Canis lupus familiaris: one gene and its partners. The protein of the gene in region 2 interacts with the protein of the main gene of each other region in a pairwise test. Links are inferred from orthologs where the notes say so. Each region holds a gene or a part of one and is shown on either strand. Other genes may lie near its edges.

Region 1 (3,646 bases), on a different chromosome or scaffold from region 2:
TCCTCCCACATGGGTCTCTCTCTTCCAACCTCTCAGGATGTCCTACGATGACTTCATCTACCATTTCACAAAACTGGAGATCTGCAACCTCACGGCCGATGCCCTGGAGTCCGACAAGCTGCAGTCGTGGACGGTGTCTGTGAACGAGGGCCGCTGGGTGAGGGGCTGCTCTGCCGGAGGCTGCCGCAACTTCCCAGGTGGGAGAGGTTCAGGGTGCGGGAGGGTCCAAGCAGAGCAAGTTCTGAGTGGAACTGAGTCTGTGCTAAGTTCCAGGTGTATCTTCTCGTATGAAACCCTCCCCATTTTACCGAGAAGGAAATGGCCACGCTGAGGAGTGTGCAGTAGGGGGCTGGTGACAACTTTTAAGCAGGATACTGTGTCAGAATGATACTGTGTCCATAATGCTGAGGATGGAACTGGAAACAGCAGCGACTGCAAGGGTGTGAGCCAGAGAGGATGAAAGCCAGAGCCAGTCGTGAGCATCGGAGATGGAGGGAAGGGGGCAGATTTAGGTGACAGAATATTGGGTGAAGTCCCTGAAGAATGACTTCAAGTTTGAGGGGGCCTGAGTGGATGGGGTCAATGTCGCAATATAAGACACAGGAGGAAAACTCTGTGTTGTTTTTCAGTGGAGTTGGTCATGGGCTTGTGGGGAGGGGAGTTGAATTTGGGACATAGGAAGTTTGAGGCACCTGTAGAATATCCAAGTGAAGTTGTGTCGTAGAGAATTGGGTGCACAGATTAGAATGGTACTTGGTTGTATGATTAGAACTCAGTATATGTTTGTGGAAGAGAGAATGGAAAGAAGAGAAGAAGGAGGGAAGGAAGGAAGGAAGGAAGGAAGGAAGGAAGGAAGGAAGGAAGGAAGGAAGGAAGGAAGGAAGGAAAGAAGGAAGGAAAGAAGGAAGGAAAGAAGGAAGGAAAGAAGGAAGGAAAGAAGGAAGGAAAATAGAAGGGAGAGAGGAAGAGAAGGAGGGAGGGAGGGAGTCAAATGAAAATGAGGGCTGGGATCTTTATCTCAGGCATCATCAGTGTGCAGGAATGGTTAAAAAGTGGATAAGACAGCCTCGGGGGGGCAGAGTAGTGGGGTGTGAGAGAGGCCTAAGAGCAAATCCCAGGCACTCAACGGCAGAGAATGAGAATCCCAGGTCAGAGAGAAAGGAGGAGCCATCCAGCTCGCAGTGGGGCTCCGTCTGTATAAAGGTATAGGCTATGCCCTGCTCCCCCCACATAATTTGACAAAGGCCTGAATCATTCCTTCTGTATTTTTTTTAAGTTTTCTTTATTTATTCATGAGAGACACAGAAACAGGCAGAGGGAGAAGCAGGCTCCTCACTGGGAGCCTGATGTGGGACTCGATCCTGGATCCTGAGATCACGCCCTGAGCTGAAGGCAGAAGCTTAAACACTGAGCCACCCAGGCATCCCATTCCTTCTGTATTTATTGAGCACCTAGATGCAGGAGATAGATCGGCTGCTTCTGTCTTATTTCTCTTCCTGCCCTTTCTCTGAGAGGCAGATCTGAATGTACATTTCCTTCCTGGGGGGCACAGACACTTTCTGGACCAACCCACAGTATCGCCTGAAACTCCTGGAGGAGGACGACGACCCTGACGACTCCGAGGTGATCTGCAGCTTCCTGGTGGCCCTAATGCAGAAGAACCGGCGGAAGGACCGCAAGCTGGGGGCCAACCTCTTCACCATTGGCTTTGCCATCTACGAGGTGTGCAGTTCCTAATGGTTGTCAGCCCAAGAAACACCCACATTCCTCAGCGGGGAGGGTCTCGGAGGGCTTCCCCAATACTCAGTGACCCCCAGAACTCCTGGTATCAGGTCCACTTGAGGCAGAATCTCTTAGATATTTTTAACAAGTAGGAAAAAACCAGGATGGGGGAGGTGGAGTGGGGCTGGGGCTGGCCAGATAGGTAGATGGGAAATCAGACTTCTGCATTCACCCCACAGTTGCTAGCATTCCCTTCCTGCAAGTTTTTCATCTCGGTTCAGATGTGAAATCCACAGGATCTGAGCATCTTTGTTTTCTGTTTCTCTTCAAGGTTCCCAAAGAGGTATAGAAGTGGCAGCGGCCAGCAGTGTGTGCAGCATTGCCCAGGGGTCCTGTGCCCATCAGTGGCACATCGGGAAGCTTCCTGGTGGGGTTTGAGGGCAGGACTGTGACGGGGGAAGGGGTCTTGCCTGTCACAAACTCCAGAGAGTACCTCAGGGTACTGCATGACCTCCCGACTATCACTGTCCCGGTGTGCCCTTTCCTCCTTCCCACCAGAGATGGTCACACACATGCTCTCATGAATTCCTATTCACTTCTGCTCACACACTTACTCAGATTCATATGCTCTTGCACTCACAATTTACACACTCACACACACATTCTGAGGGTGACTGGAGGAATCACCTCCCTCAAACTCCAGCCAAGGCCCCTCCTGCCTCCTTGGGGTTCTTCCCCAACCTGGAGGTGATTTGGAGCTGACCAGCAGCAGTTCTGGTAAGTGGGGGAATGATAGACTTGACCTTCACTTTTGAATCACAACAGAAAAGGAGGAGGAAATGGGGTCGGGAGCTCCAGGGATATTGAGCTATTTGAGGCCTTGGGACTCGGAAGTAGGTAGGTCATGACTGTGAACTGGGTGGCCAGGGATTCGGGAGGAGACCCCTGGAGGGGCTGTTGTGAGCAGGACGGGACATCCTTGTCAGGGAGCTCAGTCCCTTGGCCCTTCTCTCCCTCAGATGCATGGAAACAAGCAGCATCTGCAGAAGGACTTCTTCCTGTACAACGCCTCCAAGGCCAGGAGCAAAACCTACATCAACATGCGAGAGGTGTCTGAGCGCTTCCGCCTGCCTCCCAGCGAGTATGTCATTGTGCCCTCCACCTATGAGCCCCACCAGGAGGGAGAATTCATCCTCCGGGTCTTCTCTGAAAAGAGGAACCTCTCTGAGTGAGTCAGCCCCACTTTCCCCACTTGTCCCTAAAAGCCCTTGCGGCCCATCCCAGAGATTGGAGACATGAGGTAGCTGGACCAGTCCCCTCCAGGAGTCCTAGGATATGCTGACCAGCTGCCCCTCTTCCTCTGCTCCTGAGCCACTGGCCACATCTCCTCCATTCATTTAGACAGTCTGTCATCCCACAGATATTTATTGAGCACCTACTATGTTCCAGGTGCTCTTCTTCTAGGCACTGAGGACAGGGCAGTGAAATAAACAGAAATCCCTGCCCTCATGGAGCTTATCATTCTGGCGTGAGACAAGGATACATGGAGGAAAAATACACATATGTATGTTAGAGGGTGATAAGTGATAAGAAGAAAGGAAGAAAGAAAATAGGGAACAGGGATAGGAAGCATTGGGGGGGTGATAGAACTTTTAGGTAACGTGGCCAGGGAAGCCAGCAAGGCCATATTCTGCATTTTTGGTTACTGTAGATGAGTTCAGAAGCCCAACTACTCTGAACTCTGTCCCTGAAAGAAACACAAGGTGCATGGGTCTGACTTTGGGGAGCTCTGGGCAAAGCCAACAAGAACCCATGTGTGTGTCCTTGGCTGCTGGGGATGCTGCCCACATGGGCGGGTTCTGTGGTAGGAGATATTAGTTCCTGGGGTTCCTTTGAGCTCCGTCTGGACTCAGTTCTGAGAAGC
Region 2 (3,646 bases):
CCGGTTTAGCAGAGCTGATCCCCACGCGGGGGTTACCCCGGGACTGGAATGACTCGCGGTGTGGCTGTGCAGATGCGTGAGACGAAATGCCAAGGGGACAAATGTCAGGTCCTCCTCTGAGTTCAAAAGTCAGTGGCATAGAACCGAGTTGGGGAAACCGAGTCACGGTACATGAGCAAGGCGACAGTGAGGTTCGTCCAGTGGTTGAGTCGGTGGTGCTTTGGGGCTCCTGGCGAGACCGCCACCGGGGTCACCAGCTCTCCCCTGCAGTCCTGGTGATCTGGCTTTTCTGAAGATGTATTTCCATGCGACTGCCCAAAGACTGTGGCCCCCAAAGGTCAGGCCGCAGGCTGGGAGGGGCACTAACATGCTGGGCCCCTCCACAGGCCAGGTGGTTTCCAGGCTCTGTTGATTCAGCTCATCCTCCAGCGGCCGCAGTGAGGCCTCTGGCCCCACTGGACATGCTAGTTGCAGCTAAAGCTCCCCAGGGGTCTGCTGCACCCCAGCCCAGCGAGGTCAGAATCTCTGGGACTGCAGATTCTGGCACCAGGCGATTCCCATGAGCCTCAGGGATGAGAAGCTGCTGGGCCGTCTGCATCCCACACACGAGGCAAGTCAAGCTCAGACGGCTTAAGTCACTTACCCAAAGCCACACAGCTCAGAGTGATGGAGCCAGAGTCCCCATTTGTCTGACTGCTGGGCTGGACCCACTCCACCCCAAACGTAGGGCAGGCACGTTCACTCTCTGGCTATAACTTACCCCCTAGTTTCTAAGGAGAGGAGGGGTGAATCAGGAAGCAGAGAATGTGGCTACAGGATGGGGCTGAGCACCCCTTGCAGACTCGCCCCTGGGGGCCGACTCCACACTGTGCCCGCGTGGCTCCTGACCTCCCCGCTTCTCTCCATGGGAAGAGGGGACCAGGCCTCCTCCAACTTTGACCTGAATTGTATCTGTGGTGACTCCCTGGGTCATGAACCCACACTGGGCCAGTCCCTGGAAGCTCACACCACTGTCCTAGGGCAGCCAGCATGGCTCTGCCACCAGAGTGTGAGTCCCTTCCGCCACCTGATTGGGAAGAGTGGCCTTGGGCAAGTCCCCCCACTTTCTTCATCTGCAAACTGAACTTGTTATTGAAAATATTTGCCTACCCCCTGGTTGTGGGGAGTCAGTGAGATAAGGTGGTGACAACCCTTTGTAAGTGGTGAAGGCAAATATTAGCTTTGGTGTCACGTGCCGGAAGGGCCCGGGCTCCTTGTGCCAGGGCACCTGGTCACAGTCCCACTGTACTGTGTGTGGTGACCTGGGGCTGCATTTTACCAGGACCTCGGCTTCCTCACCTGCAGAGTAGCACCGCGCAGACTCTCCTCACTGGGCCAGCGCACAGATCAAATGCTCCAGTCCCCAAAAAGCTTTACGTGTGGGCACCTCAGAAAGAAGGTGGCCATGGGGGAAGTTAGGCCGTTCTAGTGAGTTCCCCAGGCCGTGCCTCCGTGCTCCAGGCAGGAATGAGACTTTGTTCCTTTGCTCGTTCATTGTCTGCCCTTTCCCTGGAAGCACCCAGACCCTGCAGTCCCAGCCCTGGGTTCAAGCCCCAGTTCTGCAGCTCATGTTGTGTGAGCTGAGGCTCAAGATTGGCCTCTCTGAGCCTTAGCTGTGTGTAAAGAACATTCCGTCTCCATTTGGTCTACAGCCTGGAGGTGTTCAGCCAGTGGCGATACTATGGGAGCCACCACGAAGGAGGAAGGAAGAGAGGGGGTCCAGGAGCAGCCCCTGGGAATCGTCTTAGGATTTTTTGTAGGGAGAGAAAAATGGTTGTTTTGATATGGAGGCACACAGGATCCTTTCAATTCCAGGACCCCCAGGGAAGCACCCTGAGGCCACCATAGCCTCACTTCCACTGGTTCCTCAGCTCCCAAGCACCTGCAGGGAGTTTAGGGGAGCCTGGGGGGCCGGTGGAGGCTGCTGCATCCGAGTTCCTCTTTAGTGCGGGACCCCTCCCTCAGCTGTCACCGCCTTGCAAGTTCAGTGCCCCGATGGCCAAACTGGGCTCAGGAGGGACACACCTCTCCCAAAGCACCCTGCCCCGCTGCTTGCAATGTTCCAGGTGCCCTATCTGTGTCGTTTCCCAGGGACTGAGAGCGTTCCTGGAACACGGCGGGGCTTTCACTGCCGCTGCCGATCCGATCCGGGAATTGGCATGAGCAGTGAGCAGCAGGTGTCCACGTCCAGTGGAAGCTTAACCAGAGCCACATGTGGAAATTTCCCAGCCGCCACGTTAAATACATAAAAAAAAACCAGTAGAAATTAATTTTAATACCTTATTTAACCTAAGACGTCCAAAATATTTTCAGTTTGACACGTAATCCATATAAACATCATTATTCAGATGTCTTACCTTCCTTTTTAGGCACTAACTCCTCAAAATCTAGTGTATTTTTCACTTACAGCTAGATTTGCCAAATACCAGCTGCCCAGGTAACTGAATTTCAGATAAACAATGAAAAAAAAAGTGTGTGGTTTTGTTTTGCTTTTACTATAAGTATATCCTATGTATTGCATGGGACATATTTACACTCAAACTTCTTTCTCAGCTGAAATTCAGGGGCCTGTATGTGTCTGTAATTTTATCTGATACATCTTGCAACCCTAGTTTCAGCACTTCTGCATCCGGAGGCTTACCAGCCACCTTAACTCATGGTGGAAAAGGGGACAGGGCAGGTATGGAAGGATCGAGGCACCCAGGAGAGTCCGAGAGAGCCAGTCACCCAAAGTCAACCTGCAAACACCTGCCTGGTTCCTTCCTTCTCCAGGGCCCCCAGCCACCATCCCTTTGTTGCCTGTGACATATCTGTCTTTGTTTTGATCGAGCTTTTTGGAAGCAACTCAACACATTCTACTTCCCACCATCTCCTGGCTGAAAAACAGGTGACAGGGAAGAAAGTCCACATCTCCAGCCCCATGATTCTCTGTATCAGCAAATTTTCAGGATCCAGAAAAGGGGCCAGGGCCAACAGGAGTGGCAGGGCAGGTCTGGAGGGAGGACAGGCCAGACCCAGAGATGGGAGACCCAGGAGCCCACCTCCTTCTGGGGCTTTCCTCCCTGCACTCCGAGCCTCAGCCTCACCCTCAGTGTGGGCTGAGACACTCCAGGTGTGAGTCTCTGATTCTGAGTTGTCTCTCTCTGCCTCAGTTTACACATCCAAACACACTGGGAAGTTGCAGACCAAAACCCTGGGATGGGGAAGTGGACACAGCCAAGCGGCTGCTGGGGAAAGATGCAGCCTGCACAAGAGGTAGGTCACAGGGAAGCTGCCCTCCCCAGGCTGTCCCTGGGCTCCTGGCGTGCGGAGGGGGGCGGTGCATGTTCAGAGTGTCGGGAATGTTGGAAACAAGGCCACAGCTGGAATAGACAGAGGGCCAAAGAGGTAGGCCACAGCCAAGGTCACACAGTACGCCTCCAAGGGGCTAGACGCCAGCTGGGGAGCTGGGAACCAGAGCAGTGGGCTTCCCCACTGGGTCACATGCCCCCATAGGGCACTGCTCCCAGGACCCCAGGAGAAAAGGATGATGAATGCCAGTTTCCCCTGGGTAGGAGGCAGCAAGGGGCCAGTGCCTGACCGGAACTCACCCAGCCCATAGGGCTGA
Region 3 (4,424 bases), on a different chromosome or scaffold from region 2:
GAAAAACATAGCCCAGCTGCCCCATCAAGAGGGAGGTGAAGGGACACCTCAGGTGGTGACAGACCTTCTCCATTCCCGTAGGGGAAGGCCACTGGGCCCGGGCCCTCGGCATGGCCAGGAAGTGATGTGTGGGGTGGCCCCTGGTCCCTGCCCTGGGATCAGGAATGCATATGGCTCCACTGTTGTAGCTGAGACCTTTGTTCCTTTCAGGCCTTCGCGGGCCTTTCGTTAACCTCCTGCCCAGGGTCCCAGGGAGGAGCGCCTATCTTTAACAAAGGATGTGGATTTCCTGCTTGGTTTTAGTTTGTTTGAATTTTATTTTTGTCTCAAAAGCCTGAGACATCTTTCTCTGCCACACAAGCCAAAAGAAAACAAGCCTTGGGAGGTGGACTGTGGGGACTGGACATGCCCAGAGAAACAACCTGTCCCAGAGATAGAATCTCAATTTTGGACTGGGGGTAGGTAAAGGAAAATGAGGCCTACATGATAGCCAGTGAAGGAGGCTGGGAGTTTTAAACAGGTGGGACTGGAAGGCAGGCCCCCCGATTGCTCTTCCTGGTAAAGGCTGGTGGGTTTTCATGCTGGAAAGGCTGCCTTGCTCACATTTTTCATCCTGTGTGGTCTCTAATTGGAAAGGGAAGTTGCATTCCAGTGTGAAAAAGAAGCCACTTGGCTACCTCCCTCTAGGGACTTCACGGCAGGGCCTCTGTCCCTGCAGACCTAGAAAAAAGGGCCGGCTCTCTGTCCAGGGCAAAAGGGGCTTTGGGCAAACCAATTGGGTGGCAATAAAATGATTAACAAGGGCGAGAGATTGATCCCATTGGGGCTCGGACAGTGCTTGGGGATATCAGGCAAAGTGAGACATAAGAGAAGCCCTAGAAAGGAGAGTAGGGGGCCCCTTGAGTTAAGATGCCAGCTGCTGATGGCTGGGGGCCTACAGGAAAGAATTGTCATCCCAACGGTCTCATCGTAAGTGGTCTTCTGAGGTCTGTGTCCATTACTGGCCAATAGCACCTTCTAGGCTGCTTCCACTTGGCCAACACTAACTACAGGCCAATATACCTGCGGGAGACCTTGTTTGTTGGATTATTTAGAAACTCCCAGGAGATAGACCCCCATCCAACTTGTACCTGTAAGCAGAGCCTGCAGAATTCAGAGAGCTGCCTTCAATTCTTCCTTGTCCAAGAAGGAGCATCAAGCCATCACATTTCATGCTTCCTGCTGGCATGGTGAGGCTGCATCTACATAATTGGTTATCCAGTATGAGCAACCCCAAAGCCCCTCCTGCCCCCCAGCTCCAGTGGCAGAGGATGGACACTCTCCTCTGAAAAGTTTTTCCTAATGGATTTTTTGAGAGGTGGCCCCTATTCTGGGATGAGCTGTAGGAGAGGATGGCAGAAAAGAGATAGAAGGTCCCCTCTGCCTCACATACTCCACTGGAGTGTCTCTTCTACCCCTGACCTGCCTTCTGTACTGGAGGGTACCTCCTGCTGGGGCTGGAGGTGTTCTCAAGAATGTCTCCCCACATCCCACCTGCAAATATCTCTGAGAGGAGCAAGCCCTCCAAGCTGCTATTAGCCAATACCCCAGAAAGCAACATCCTGAAGGGCTCAAGGGAACTGACGAGCAAGGGAGACACTATGAGACCTACCTTGTTTAAATACCAGCCCCCAGCTTTCTATCCTACCACCCTCTTCTCCCCCCACATGACTCTTCCTCTCTATCCCATGACACTCATTGCCTCCTAGCAACACTACAACATATAGCTACCTGTTCATGCTTGCTATCTACGTCCCACCTGATGTAAGCTCCATGAGCGTAGAGACTTTAACCACACTTGTTCACCAATATTGGTGAATATTGTTCACCAATATGTTCCAAGTGCACAGAACATTTCCTGGCACCTGGTAGGTACTCAAAAAATACATATTGAGTAAATGGGCTGAATGTGGGATATGGTTGCATTATGGTATGTGAAATATTAGATGAAGCCTCCAAAAATAAGCATAAGTTGGGCCTGTGATGCTCTTAAAATGGCCCGGCCTGCCCTGTATTTCCTTTGTTGATGAAGCTGAGAATCTTCCCATGTGTTTACCAAACATTTGTGTGGGTTTTTTTTTTTTTTTTCTCTGTGTGTGAAATGCCTGTTTTGTCTCTTGCTCATTTAACCCCTTGGATTGTTTGTCTTTTTCTTTTAGACTTATAGGAATCCTTTATATATTCTGGAAACCAATCCTTTGTGATTATATGCATTTCTCCCAGTTTGGAGTTTGTCTTTTAATTTTCTTTATGGTGTAATAATTTTATTTTTTTAAAGATTTTATTTATTTATTCATGAGACACAGAGAGAGAAAGAGGCAGAGACACAGACAGAGGGAGAAGCAGACTCCCTCTGGGGAGCCTGATGTGGGACTCAATCCTAGAACCCCAGGATCACCCCTGGAGCCAAAGGCAGACTCTCAACCACTGAGCCATCCATGTGTCCCTATGGTATAATAATTTTAATGTAGTTTCATTCATTAATCTTTTCTTTTAGGATTAGTACTATGTCTTATTTAAGGATGCTTTCCCCCCCCCAGAACTCATAAATAGATTCTCCAGTATTTTTTCTAAAAGTTTTAAAGTTTTGCTTTTACATTTAATTCTTCAATCTGTTAAGAATTTATTTTGGGGGATGAGGCAAGTAGATAATTTGTATTTGTTTCTGTCTAGATTCAGAGTGATGCTATTAATCTGGGACCATTTAAGCCCCTTAAGAGTTTCTTGGGTTCAATGTGGCCATCTTACCTTGCTACTGGACCAAGGCTCCCATGCCCAGACTGGCTCCCATATTGACACTTATTCACAGGTCGACTTTTACTCCTGGATGCAATTTTGGATTCATCTTCCATATTCTGGGGAGAAAAGGTTGGAAGAGAACTTAGTCACCATACTTCCTGTAAGCCTAGCAATGTCTTCAAAATTATACTTCATTTAAGAATTCAGGATCTAGGGGCACCTGAGTGGCATGGTCGGCCAGGCATCCGACTCACAATTTTTTTTTTTAAGATTTTTATTTATTCATTTGAGAGAGAGAGAGAGAGCACACGAGTGGGGCCAGGAGGCAGAGAGAGAAGGAGAAGCAGACTCCCCGCTGAGCTGGGAGCCCCATGTGGGGCTCGATCCCAGGACCCGGAGACCACAACCTGAGCCAAAGGCAGATGTTCAACCATCTGAGCCACCCAGGTGCCCCTGACTCATGATTTTGACTCAAGTTATGATCTTAAGGGATGTGAGATCAAGCCTTGCATTGGCTCAGTGGGGAGGCAGCTAGAGATTTTCTCCCTCTGCTCTTCCCCCTTGCTCATGTGCTCTCTCTCTCCCTCAAATAAATAAATCTTAAAAAAAAAAAGAATTCAGAGTCTAAGAGTTTTATAATGGGACAGTATTTCAGCATATCTGTGGTCCACCAACTCTTACCCTCTATTCAGAGAGCAGATACATTTTAATTCAGACTGTACACTCTAGGTCAAACTACCAACTTAAGAAACAATTACTCTTGCAAAAGTAATACACATTCACTGTACAAAATTTGAAATAAAAAAGTACAAAGAAGAAAATTTAAATAATCTATAGATAAGTTCCCATCCTAGGGTATAACATTTTTAATATTTGAGTGTGTGTAGTGGTTTGAGTGTGGTCTCCCAAAAGTTGTGCCCACCCAGAACCTTTAGATACTATCATTATTTGGAAAAAGGGTCTTTGTAGATGTAATTAAGTTATGGATCTCAAGAGGTGCCTATCCTGGATTAGTGTGGGCCCTGAAACCAATGCTAAGTCCTTAGAAGAGGAGAAAAGAGCTAAATAGACATGGGTAGATAGGCATGTGAAGACAGGAGGTAGAGACTGGAGTCAGGCAGCCACCAGAAACAAAAGAAAAGATTCTCCCCAAGAGCCTCTGTAGGGAGTGTGGCCCTGCTGACACCTAGATTGTGAACTTCTGGCCTCCAGAAATGAGAGAGAATAAATTTCTACTGTTTTAAGCCACTCAGTTTATGGTAATTTGCATTAGCAGCCCTATATAACCAATGGTATAGATCTGTTATAGGTCAACTTCCCCAAAAAACAGCTTCAAAAGCAGAGATTTGCATACAGGTAGTTTATTGGAGAATTCTCTCAGAAATGATGCCTGCAGGGTTATAAGAGAGGTAGGGATTGGACAGGGGGAGAGAGAAACTGAGAGGTGGTTGTCACAGAGGCCTCAGCCTATCCAGGAGCCCTGACGCTGGCACGGCCTTTTAGAACTGTCTACCACTGACGCCAGGGAGCCAGACCCGCAGCACCTGTATTAACCAGTCATGGATGTGGGGGACCCCGTGGGAAGGTAGTTCTCTTCAGAGGCAAGCAATGTCTGGGAGAAGCCACCACTCCTAGGATCTGGGGAA

Evidence for each region.
Region 1: the proteins of OSGIN1 (region 2) and CAPN3 interact in binary tests that used the Homo sapiens proteins (3 or more experiments, as listed by UniProt). The two-hybrid records come from large-scale screens. The link is inferred for Canis lupus familiaris from reciprocal best matches to the Homo sapiens genes OSGIN1 and CAPN3.
Region 3: the proteins of OSGIN1 (region 2) and BCAR3 interact in binary tests that used the Homo sapiens proteins (3 or more experiments, as listed by UniProt). The link is inferred for Canis lupus familiaris from reciprocal best matches to the Homo sapiens genes OSGIN1 and BCAR3.

The regions. Positions count from the first base shown.
Region 1 is NC_049251.1:9,664,725-9,668,370, forward strand, and holds part of CAPN3 (calpain-3), read left to right. Parts: intron 1-36; coding exon 37-197; intron 198-1,552; coding exon 1,553-1,722; intron 1,723-2,053; coding exon 2,054-2,065; intron 2,066-2,741; coding exon 2,742-2,950; intron 2,951-3,646. UniProt on the Homo sapiens protein: Calcium-regulated non-lysosomal thiol-protease. Proteolytically cleaves CTBP1 at 'His-409'. Mediates, with UTP25, the proteasome-independent degradation of p53/TP53.
Region 2 is NC_049226.1:68,855,982-68,859,627, reverse strand, and holds part of OSGIN1 (oxidative stress-induced growth inhibitor 1), read left to right. Parts: intron 1-3,191; coding exon 3,192-3,294; intron 3,295-3,646. UniProt on the Homo sapiens protein: Monooxygenase catalytic activity. Involved in regulation of cytokinesis; promotes RHOA activity, probably acting locally at the midbody in late cytokinesis.
Region 3 is NC_049227.1:55,859,744-55,864,167, reverse strand, and holds the start of BCAR3 (breast cancer anti-estrogen resistance protein 3), read right to left. Parts: upstream 2,869-4,424; 5' UTR 2,788-2,868; intron 1-2,787. UniProt on the Homo sapiens protein: Acts as an adapter protein downstream of several growth factor receptors to promote cell proliferation, migration, and redistribution of actin fibers.